Arabidopsis thaliana: one gene and its partners. The protein of the gene in region 2 interacts with the protein of the main gene of each other region in a pairwise test. Each region holds a gene or a part of one and is shown on either strand. Other genes may lie near its edges. The genes, in order: SK9, AT1G57790 and SK10.

What was found.
Region 1: the proteins of AT1G57790 (region 2) and SK9 interact in a two-hybrid assay, tested with the Arabidopsis thaliana proteins (one large-scale study listed by BioGRID).
Region 3: the proteins of AT1G57790 (region 2) and SK10 interact in a two-hybrid assay, tested with the Arabidopsis thaliana proteins (one large-scale study listed by BioGRID).

What each region holds. Positions count from the first base shown.
Region 1 is NC_003074.8:7,696,367-7,699,585, reverse strand, and holds SK9 (SKP1-like 9), read left to right. Parts: upstream 1-1,969; 5' UTR 1,970-2,035; coding exon 2,036-2,497; 3' UTR 2,498-2,553; downstream 2,554-3,219. UniProt on the Arabidopsis thaliana protein: Involved in ubiquitination and subsequent proteasomal degradation of target proteins. Together with CUL1, RBX1 and a F-box protein, it forms a SCF E3 ubiquitin ligase complex. The functional specificity of this complex depends on the type of F-box protein.
Region 2 is NC_003070.9:21,403,784-21,407,569, reverse strand, and holds AT1G57790 (F-box family protein), read left to right. Parts: upstream 1-1,613; 5' UTR 1,614-1,695; intron 1,696-1,926; 5' UTR 1,927-1,933; coding exon 1,934-2,992; 3' UTR 2,993-3,228; downstream 3,229-3,786. Other genes in the region: AT1G57780 (heavy-metal-associated domain-containing protein), read right to left, coding at 3,342-3,658, 3,742-3,786.
Region 3 is NC_003074.8:7,699,223-7,702,346, forward strand, and holds SK10 (SKP1-like 10), read right to left. Parts: upstream 1,225-3,124; 5' UTR 1,014-1,224; coding exon 555-1,013; 3' UTR 501-554; downstream 1-500. Other genes in the region: PEX22 (peroxin 22), read right to left, coding at 2,086-2,190, 2,268-2,369, 2,522-2,587, 2,894-2,995, 3,074-3,124. UniProt on the Arabidopsis thaliana protein: Involved in ubiquitination and subsequent proteasomal degradation of target proteins. Together with CUL1, RBX1 and a F-box protein, it forms a SCF E3 ubiquitin ligase complex. The functional specificity of this complex depends on the type of F-box protein.

The DNA of each region.
Region 1 (3,219 bases), on a different chromosome or scaffold from region 2:
TGTAGTTGATGATGAGTTCATCAGAGTTCAATAATCAAATAATGAAAGTAGACATATATTTCGTTTGTTGTGATAATACTTACAAAAATACTCTTCTTTACTCGATAAAATACTTTTGCATTCCTTTATTTTTTTTTTATTAAATTTCTGACAGGTTATGGCTTGTTAATCTTATAAAATGTATTTAAAATTATACAAAAGTCAGACGAAATATTAAAAGCTACATACATTTAACTAAAAAAAGTTATATATATATATATATATATATTGACATATTTCTTTTCTAAAAAATTGAGATCTATACAATATGTTTTCACGAAAAACAAAAACTGCAGTTTACAAAAAAAAAAACAAAAAAACTGCAATATAATATATATTATATAGATATATTTATAGATACGTATAAGATATAGACATATTCAAATTTCAGACTTATTCGTAAAGCAACAGTGAAGTAATGAACTTAATTTCGCAAACTACTGGATTTTGATTTTATTATAAAGTAAAATTTCATATTATTGAATAAATTCTTATATTCTTTATGCGAAAAAACAGTGGATGAGTTCTTCTTTTTTGAATTAAAATTTAAAACTGTGTGCGGAAGTTACTTAATTGGAACATTTTTGGTATATATTAAGAAATGACAAAGAGATATGGAAAATATAAAATCAAAGACCATATATTAATTGAAAGTATTAAAACATATGAAATTTCAAATAAAGGTTACAGATTATATAACCTTTCAATGTTTTCAAGTGCGTATGTAATGTACACAACATCATAGTGCATTGTTAATCTTCATTTTTTTCTTGAAAATTTGAGTTGGTGGTTAGTCCAATGGATAAAAACGGAATTACAAGCAAATCTAGGAGTAAATACAACAAACACGAGTTTCCTAATTAAAAAAAAATTGTGGTTTTACTCAAATGGCCACATAGAAAGGTAATATATCAAAGACTTTTGTAGAAGAACAGCATTGCTTAAAAAGAAAGGGAGAACAACATCAACATGAGTAGACATACAACTTTCGAAAAAAAAAAAAAAAAAGTAGACATACAACGATAATTAGCTTTTGCCGTATATATATATATATAAAGACATACAACTATACAACTAAACTCTCTTGTGACTTACTTGACACAATACAATGACAAAACTGTAGAGGAAATCAGTAACAAGAAGGAATAGTTAAGAAGAGCAAAACTAATTACACAGTTACACACGACATAAGTTATTGGCAAGTACTTGTGAATTCAATAATCCAATAATGACATATATATTTCATTCATTGTGTATTGTAAAAAACTTTTGTATTCATATGTAATTGTTTTGATTAAAATTGTGAGCTGAAGTTTCCTATTTGGAACTTTGTGTTTGTGGTATTAATTAAGATCTAAAAAAAGTTAGAATCAAAGAGGTAGATATTACCGTGTAATACTATCAATTGCGTAAGACGTGATATTTATGCATTCATTTATAAAACATCATCGTAGTGCATTTTTGATGAAAAAGTTTATTTGGAAAAATGGAGTCCAGTAGATAAAAAAAAAAAAAGAATTACATAGAAACTTAGGAGTAAACACTGTAAAACACGAATTTCCAAAAAAAAAAAAAGAAGTTGTAGTTATAATTTAAAAGACACATATAAAAAATAATTTAGTGGAAATTAAAACAACATAACATGAGTAGATAACTTAATGATTGTGTGACTTACTTGACACGATACATCATACATGTATCTATGAAAGTTAGGGCTTACATACTAACTTACAAGTAAACACATGAAAAAGTTGTGGTTTTAATCAAAAAGACACATAAAAAAAGACTTTAGTGGAAGAACAACATCAACATGAGTAGACATACAATACAACTTCAAGCTTTCGTGACTTACTTGACACGATACATGCATATATGAAAGTTATTAGGGCTTATAAATAGACAAACGCATAGGTTCATAACTTCATTACCTTATTACTCAATCATTTACTCAATTCTTCAATCTTCCAGAGAAAAAATCTCCCCCACTGAAAAAATAATGTCGACGAAGAAGATCATATTGAAGAGCTCCGATGGTCACTCATTCGAGGTCGAAGAAGAGGCCGCACGCCAATGCCAGATTATCATAGCTCATATGAGTGAAAATGATTGTACCGATAATGGAATCCCTCTTCCAAACGTGACAGGCAAGATTCTTGCGATGGTGATCGAGTACTGCAACAAGCACCACGTCGATGCCGCTAATCCTTGCTCCGACGATGATCTCAAGAAGTGGGACAAGGAGTTCATGGAAAAAGATACATCCACGATCTTTGATCTCATCAAGGCTGCGAATTACCTAAACATCAAAAGCCTTTTTGATCTAGCATGCCAAACCGTCGCGGAAATCATCAAAGGCAACACTCCTGAGCAGATTCGCGAATTCTTCAACATTGAGAATGATTTAACACCTGAGGAAGAAGCAGCGATTCGTAGGGAGAATAAATGGGCTTTTGAATGAGCGGATTATCAAAACCTAAACAGCTTTCTTTCTTTTCTTTTCTTTCTTATTTAGTGTGTGTTTCGTTATCAATCTAGGTGATGGTGACTTCATCTACGTACGATAATCCAATAATGGAAGCAGCTGCTTTCTTTCTTTTCTTTTCGTTTTCTTCTTTAGTGTGTGTTTTTAATATCTTGATCAATGTAGTTGATGATGAGTTCATCAAAGTTCAATAATCAAATAATGAAAGTAGACATATATTTCGTTTGTTGTGATGATACTTACAAAAATACTCTTCTTTACTCGATAAAATACTTTTGCATTCCTCTGTTTTTTTTAATTAAATTTCTGACAGGTTATGGCTTGTTAATCTTATAAAATGTGTTTAAAATTATACAAAATTCAGGCGAAATATTAAAAGCTAAATAGATTTAACTAAAAAAAGTTATATATATTGACATATTTCTTTTCTAAAAAATTGAGATCTATACAATATTTTTTAACGAAAAACAAAAACTGCAATATAATATATATATTTATAGATGCGTATAAGATATAGACATATTCAAATTTCAGACTTATTCGTAAAGCAACAATGAAGTAATGAACTTAATTTCGTATAACTACTGGATTTTGATTTTATTATAAAGTAAAATTTCATATAATTGAATAAATTCTTATATTTTTTATGCGAAAAAACAGTGGATGAGTTTTTTTTTTTTAATTAAAATTTAAAACTG
Region 2 (3,786 bases):
TTTTTTGGCCTTATATAAGGAGGAAAGAGTTCTCAGGATCTCCATCAAAATTCTGCAATTTCTGAATTCTGATCATTGAAATTTTACAACCCTAGCTTCAGCCATCCGTTCTGCAGCTGGTCCATGCCATGGCTTATGCTCCATCATGAAACATGTTTTTTGGATGATCCAAATATGTCCAAACCTCGGATGAACAACTTCAAGATTTCATGGGAGAAATAATCAATTTACTTGTGAGGGTTAATGTTTACTGAATCAACTGGTATGAAAGTTTTAACACCCATCTTGGAATTGGTAAGCTATTCTCATCTTTCTATGAAATCACTATATTCTTAGAATCAATATATAGTTATAAATAATGTGATCGACAAAAAAATTACATAAGCATCTTGGCACGAGATTGTTGATTACATAACATTTTGGCTCCTAAAAAAAAAAAACACTGAACGTAGATGAAAGTGGAAGCTAAATAGTAAATACAGCTTTTGCTCTACCTTTAATTCTCTTTTTAATATGATGACCAGAAGATCATCAAATGATTTTAAGACTTTTCTGCTCACTATTTTAAGACTTTTAAGACTTTTCTGCTCACTATTTTTCCTTCCCTTCAGATGATTTCAAATATGCTTTATTGTTGTCTAATAATACGATGAAGTAGGTCAATGAGCATTGAAAAAGAGCTGATTATGAGAAAAGAAAGATACTACATTTCTTCGTTTCTGGTCATGAATTATTCTGCTATGAACTATCAATACAGAGACAATTACAATGTCTTGTTCTCAAAAAGCGTCTAAAGCATAATTTACCTTTGTAAAAACTATTAAGGAGAATCATATATATCAATTCCTTTGATTACTCCTCCAATCACTCTCGTTAATATCTCGTATAGAATAATATCTTTCTCTATAAGTACTCTGTAGAAACGTGTATATAAAAGAGCTCTTGTAATCATTAATAATACAACACAATCTATATTCATAATAAAAACTTTGATATTGGTTACTACAACCTCCAAGTTATTGCTTTTTATATTCTTACTGAAAATACCTTTTCTGTCTGCATACGAACAAAACATATCTCGAGATAGTACCGTTCATGTTTCTTTTACAATGTCAGATACAAAATTACATAATTATTTCCCATACTAACAAAACTATAAATGAAATTAACTCAATTGTCAAATTAAATGTGGTATCCCGAATTATCCCCTACTATATACAAAATTAGATAATGTCCCTACTATTTACGGGACAAGTTTTTCAAAATATAATCTTAGATTATGGAAATTATATATAAATAAAATATGGTAAAATCTTCATTAATTATATTTTTAAAATAATTAGATGTTTTGTATATTATTTTGTGAGAAACAAAATTTGTTAGTCATAAACTAAATACCAAATTTTAAAAATAATAGATAACTGAGAAAAAAAATGAAATCTGATTCCAAAAAAGAAAAGAGTTGAAAGATAGAAATAAATAAGAAAAAATCATCAACTAATATGGAAGACAATTCTATATTTTTTTCTTATTTAATATTTTAACTATTTTCATTTTAAGGGTATTTCATGTATTTAACTACATATTTAACATTTTATTTTATTCTGGTTATTATAATAGTAATCACTCATCACTTATACATCCAGTTGTCTCGTCTCTTCACCTTTCAATCAGAAGAACAGTGAAGTTGAGATCGTAAGTTTTCTTTCCCTCTAATCTCTATCTCTTTTTGCTTCAATTTTGATGTTTTGCATTTCCATCTATCTGATCTGAGTAACAATCTGAATTTCGTATTTGTTGCCCAATTCTGAATTCTTGAATTCAATGATATACACTTAGCCTGATATGAACCAAAATCAATCAAAGTTTTGTCTTTTCATAATCTGATTATTCAATTTTCGATCTTGTTTTATGAACTATTCTCAGATCCATCATGAGCGTGAATACCAATGAAGGGTCCAAGAACCTGTGGAAGGATCTTCCTTTAGAGCTTCTGAGTTCAGTAATGACTTTTCTTGAAATCAAAGATAACGTAAGAGCTTCTGTTGTATGCAAATCGTGGTTCGAAGCCGCAGTTTCAGTTAGGGTCATTGACAAATCTCCTTGGCTCATGTACTTCCCTGAAACCAAGAACACTTACGACTTTTACGATCCATCGAACTGCAAGAAGTATACAATGGAGCTGCCTAAATCGTTAGTTGGCTTTATTGTTCGTTACTCGAAAGATGGATGGTTACTTATGAGCCAAGAAGATTCATCACACTTTGTCTTGTTCAATCCATTTACTATGGATGTTGTAGCCTTGCCTTTTCTTCACTTGTTCACTTATTATCAGTTAGTGGGTTTCTCTTCTGCTCCTACATCTAGTGAGTGTGTGGTGTTTACTATCAAGGATTATGATCCAGGCCATGTCACTATCCGTACTTGGAGTCCGGGTCAAACGATGTGGACTTCAATGCAGGTTGAGTCTCAATTCCTTGATGTTGATCATAACAATGTTGTTTTCTCAAATGGCGTGTTTTACTGTCTTAACCAAAGAAACCACGTTGCGGTTTTTGATCCGTCTTTACGTACATGGAATGTTCTTGATGTACCGCCACCTAGATGTCCCGATGATAAGAGTTGGAATGAAGGAAAGTTCATGGTAGGTTATAAAGGTGACATACTTGTGATTCGTACATATGAAAATAAGGACCCTTTGGTGTTTAAACTCGATCTTACTCGAGGTATTTGGGAGGAGAAGGATACACTCGGTAGTTTAACTATTTTTGTGAGTAGGAAGTCATGTGAATCGAGAACATATGTTAAGGATGGGATGTTAAGGAATAGTGTATACTTCCCTGAGTTGTGTTACAATGAGAAACAAAGTGTGGTGTATTCGTTTGATGAAGGGAGGTACCACCTGCGAGAGCATGATCTTGATTGGGGAAAACAGCTTTCATCTGATAACATTTGGATCGAGCCTCCCAAGAACGCTTTTGAGCTAGTTTAAAAGTATTTTTGCAATGTTTGGTGTTTGAACTTGGCACATCTTAGAGATGATGACTTAGCTCCACTAATATGTTCTTTTGTTGCTATTGTTATTGTTATGTCAATTTTTTGCTCACTGTCTAAGCTCCAAGCTCCTCTTGTTCCTTATTCGATAAAAACAAAATTTCTCTCACACTTCAAGATTTTCATGGGATATAGCTTTATAATAAAAAGATTAAAATGAAATCATACTTTTATTTTGTCCAACTTACATAATACTTTTGGTGAATGAGACATTAAAGTATATCACAAAATGCATAAGGTCCATTAGCATGTTGTATTTTTCATTGTGGACACTTGTTTCGACTATGTTACGAAATAGAACATGCATTAGGATTTTCATCACTAAACATGTAATAATGTTTGGCCATCTCCTTTTCATAATCAGTAATTGGGTTGAGAGATACATTTCTATCCTTGTCGATTTCTTCATAAATATCTGCAAGTCTTTTTTCTTCTTCAGCCTCCCTTAACATCATTTCAGATTCCCACTCCTGTCTTTCCTTTTCAGCTTTTTTAATCTTTTGATGCATCTTCTTATTAAGTTTTCTCGACAGTTCATCCTTATCAAAGTTTCCAATGACCACAACCTTTTTATTTTCTAGATCCACTACATATGTTTCAACACCTAATCATACATAATTCAGACAATTTTATTAAAATAAATCACACATTATATATTATATGAAATTGATAAAACAGATATTATACCTGTGCATTTGGAAATAACTTTTCCAAAATCTTTCTCGTATTTCT
Region 3 (3,124 bases), on a different chromosome or scaffold from region 2:
GCAGTTTTTTTGTTTTTTTTTTTGTAAACTGCAGTTTTTGTTTTTCGTGAAAACATATTGTATAGATCTCAATTTTTTAGAAAAGAAATATGTCAATATATATATATATATATATATAACTTTTTTTAGTTAAATGTATGTAGCTTTTAATATTTCGTCTGACTTTTGTATAATTTTAAATACATTTTATAAGATTAACAAGCCATAACCTGTCAGAAATTTAATAAAAAAAAAATAAAGGAATGCAAAAGTATTTTATCGAGTAAAGAAGAGTATTTTTGTAAGTATTATCACAACAAACGAAATATATGTCTACTTTCATTATTTGATTATTGAACTCTGATGAACTCATCATCAACTACATTGATCAAGAAATTGAAAAACACACACTAAAGAAGAAAACGAAAAGAAAAGAAAGAAAGCAGCTGCTTTCATTATTGGATTATCGAACGTAGACGAAGTCACCATCACCCATATTGATAACGAAACTGAAAAAAAAACACACTAAAGAAGAAAGAAAAGAAAGAAAGCTGCTTAGTGTTTGCTTCACCCGCTCATTCAAAACCCCATTGATTCTCCCTACGAACCGCTTCTTCTTCCTCATGTGTATAATCATTCTCAATGTTGAAGAATTTGCGAGTGTGCTCCACAGTGTTGTCTTTGATCATATCCGCGACGGTTTGGCATGCTAGATCAAGAAGGCTTTTGATGTTTAGGTAATTCGCAGCCATAATGAGATCAAAGATCGTGGATTGATATTTTTCCATGAATTCCTTGTCCCACTTCTTGAGATCCTCGTCGGAGCAAGGATTAGCGGCATCGACGTGGTGCTTGTTGCAGTACTCGATCACCATCTCAAGAATCTTGCCTGTCACTTCTGGAAGCGGGATTCCATTATCGGTACAATCGTCTTCACTCATATGAGCTATGGTCTGGCATTGGCATGCGGCCTCTTCTTCGACCTCGAATGAGTGACCATCGGAGCTCTTCAATATGATCTTCTTCGTCGACATTATTTTTTCGCTGGGGGGAGATTTTTTCTCTGGAAGATTGAAGAATTGAGAAAATGATTGAGAATTGAGAGAAGGATTTCAGTAATAAGGTAATGAAGTTATGAACCTATGCGTTTGTCTATTAATAAGCCCTAATAATTTTCATAGATGCATGTATCGTGTCAAGCAAGTCACGAAAGCTTGAAGTTTTATGTCTACTCATGTTGATGTTGTTTTCCACTAAAGTCTTTTAAAGCTAAAACCACAACTTTTTATCGTGTTTACTTGTAAGATTATATGTAATTCAATTTTATATATTGGACTAACCACCTACTCAAATATTCCAAATAAACTTTTTTTATTAAAAATGCACTATGATGTTGTTTTATACACATAACGCGTCTTCAAAGTTTCTATAAATGCATGCATAAATATCACGTCTTACGCAATTAATTGATCTTAATATTATTACACGGCATGTCGAGATCTCTTTGTTTTCACTTAATACCACAAATGTTCCAATTAGGAAACTTCAGTACACAGTTTTATTTGATCATCCACTGTTTTTCACAGAATTAATTGATCTTAGTATTACACGGCAATGTCTAGAAGATCTCTTTGTTTTCTCTTAATACCACAAATGTTCCAATTAGGACAATTCAGTACACAGTTTTATTTGATCATCCACTGTTTTTCACATACAGATCAGGATTTTTTTTACCAACTATATGAAGTATTACTTTATAATATAAATGAATTAAATCAAGGAAAAATATAAGCAAGTCATATTTTCTTTAAGCATTTCGATATAGAACTAATCCACACTTCGTCGATGAACTAATGACTAAACAACGGACATTTGTTTATTTCTTAAAGAATTTTGCTAAGTTGCTAATACAAAAATTACAAACTTGGATACTTTCACAGAGGCACTCGCAGTAATATCTAACTCCAAATGTATATCAAACTTTAATTTAGACACAATCAAAGAAAAATGAAAAACAAGTTTCAAGTTTCAGCCTAAGAGACACTCGATCAACGATGCTTAAGTCAGGACAACGTAATATCTTTCACCTCTCTTTTTTTGTTGATATTAAACACTTCCAAAGAACTGTTCTATTGACTGCGAGGTGAACACATTTGGAGCTGTTCGCTCGGGTTTCACCGTAGCGACATGAAGCTGATATTTGATGAACCTCTGCAAATAAGAGGGGAATGAGTTAAACTAAAAGCTAAGGTAAGAATGTAAATGAGTAAACAAGGAAATGACTTTACAGCTAGTTGTGTGCTGATTTCCGGGTTTGTATCAATATGCCAGTCAGGTTCTAGCTGTCTGACAAAGGAAGTTCTTCCTATCTCTGTACTACAAAAGAGCACCTGCAATTTCATGTTTACAGAATTGTGATTCTTACATTTTCTCGAAACATACACAGCAATATCGAAAGTCATGCTTTGATACGATTATTGGAAGGCTTTCTAAGACCGCTAACGAGTGCAAGATTTTGTAGAAGAAAGCTTGATTTGAATACCTTATCTTTGACTAAACCACCAGATGTAAAAACTCCTGCATTCTCTAAAGCCTGTAAAACTTTGGCCTGCAAATTAGAGCTCAAAATGTGAGTTTCAGAAACTACTGACAATAAGCATATAGTAACACCAATGAACTCGATTCCTCTAATAATGTAAAGATATGTGCTTAAGAATCCTTCTAATTACACATTATTCATCGACCAACTATTATCGATATGAATATCCATGTAATGTTATGACCTACTGCCCGAGTATTTAAGCTAACCATGTTCAATAATAACCACAACTAATTTACTCTGTCCTACTAGAGACTAGTTCCAACACGAAGGCAAACAAAAGAACACGAATGAGAGAGAAAAACAAATGCTCACCTCGCTTTCATCGTCAAGAACTCTTTCCATAAGATACAAATCACTATACTTTGTAATCTCTAGTAGAACTTCCAAAACAGATGACCTCACTGTGGCTTGTTTCTGCATAAAATCACTCGTCTCAGATACAAACGCATCACACACTATATAAATAAAATCTCAAAACGAAAATATCATTACTTGGAGTTCTTCTGGACTTGTTTCCTCAAGAATTACTCCAAGAAGACGGCA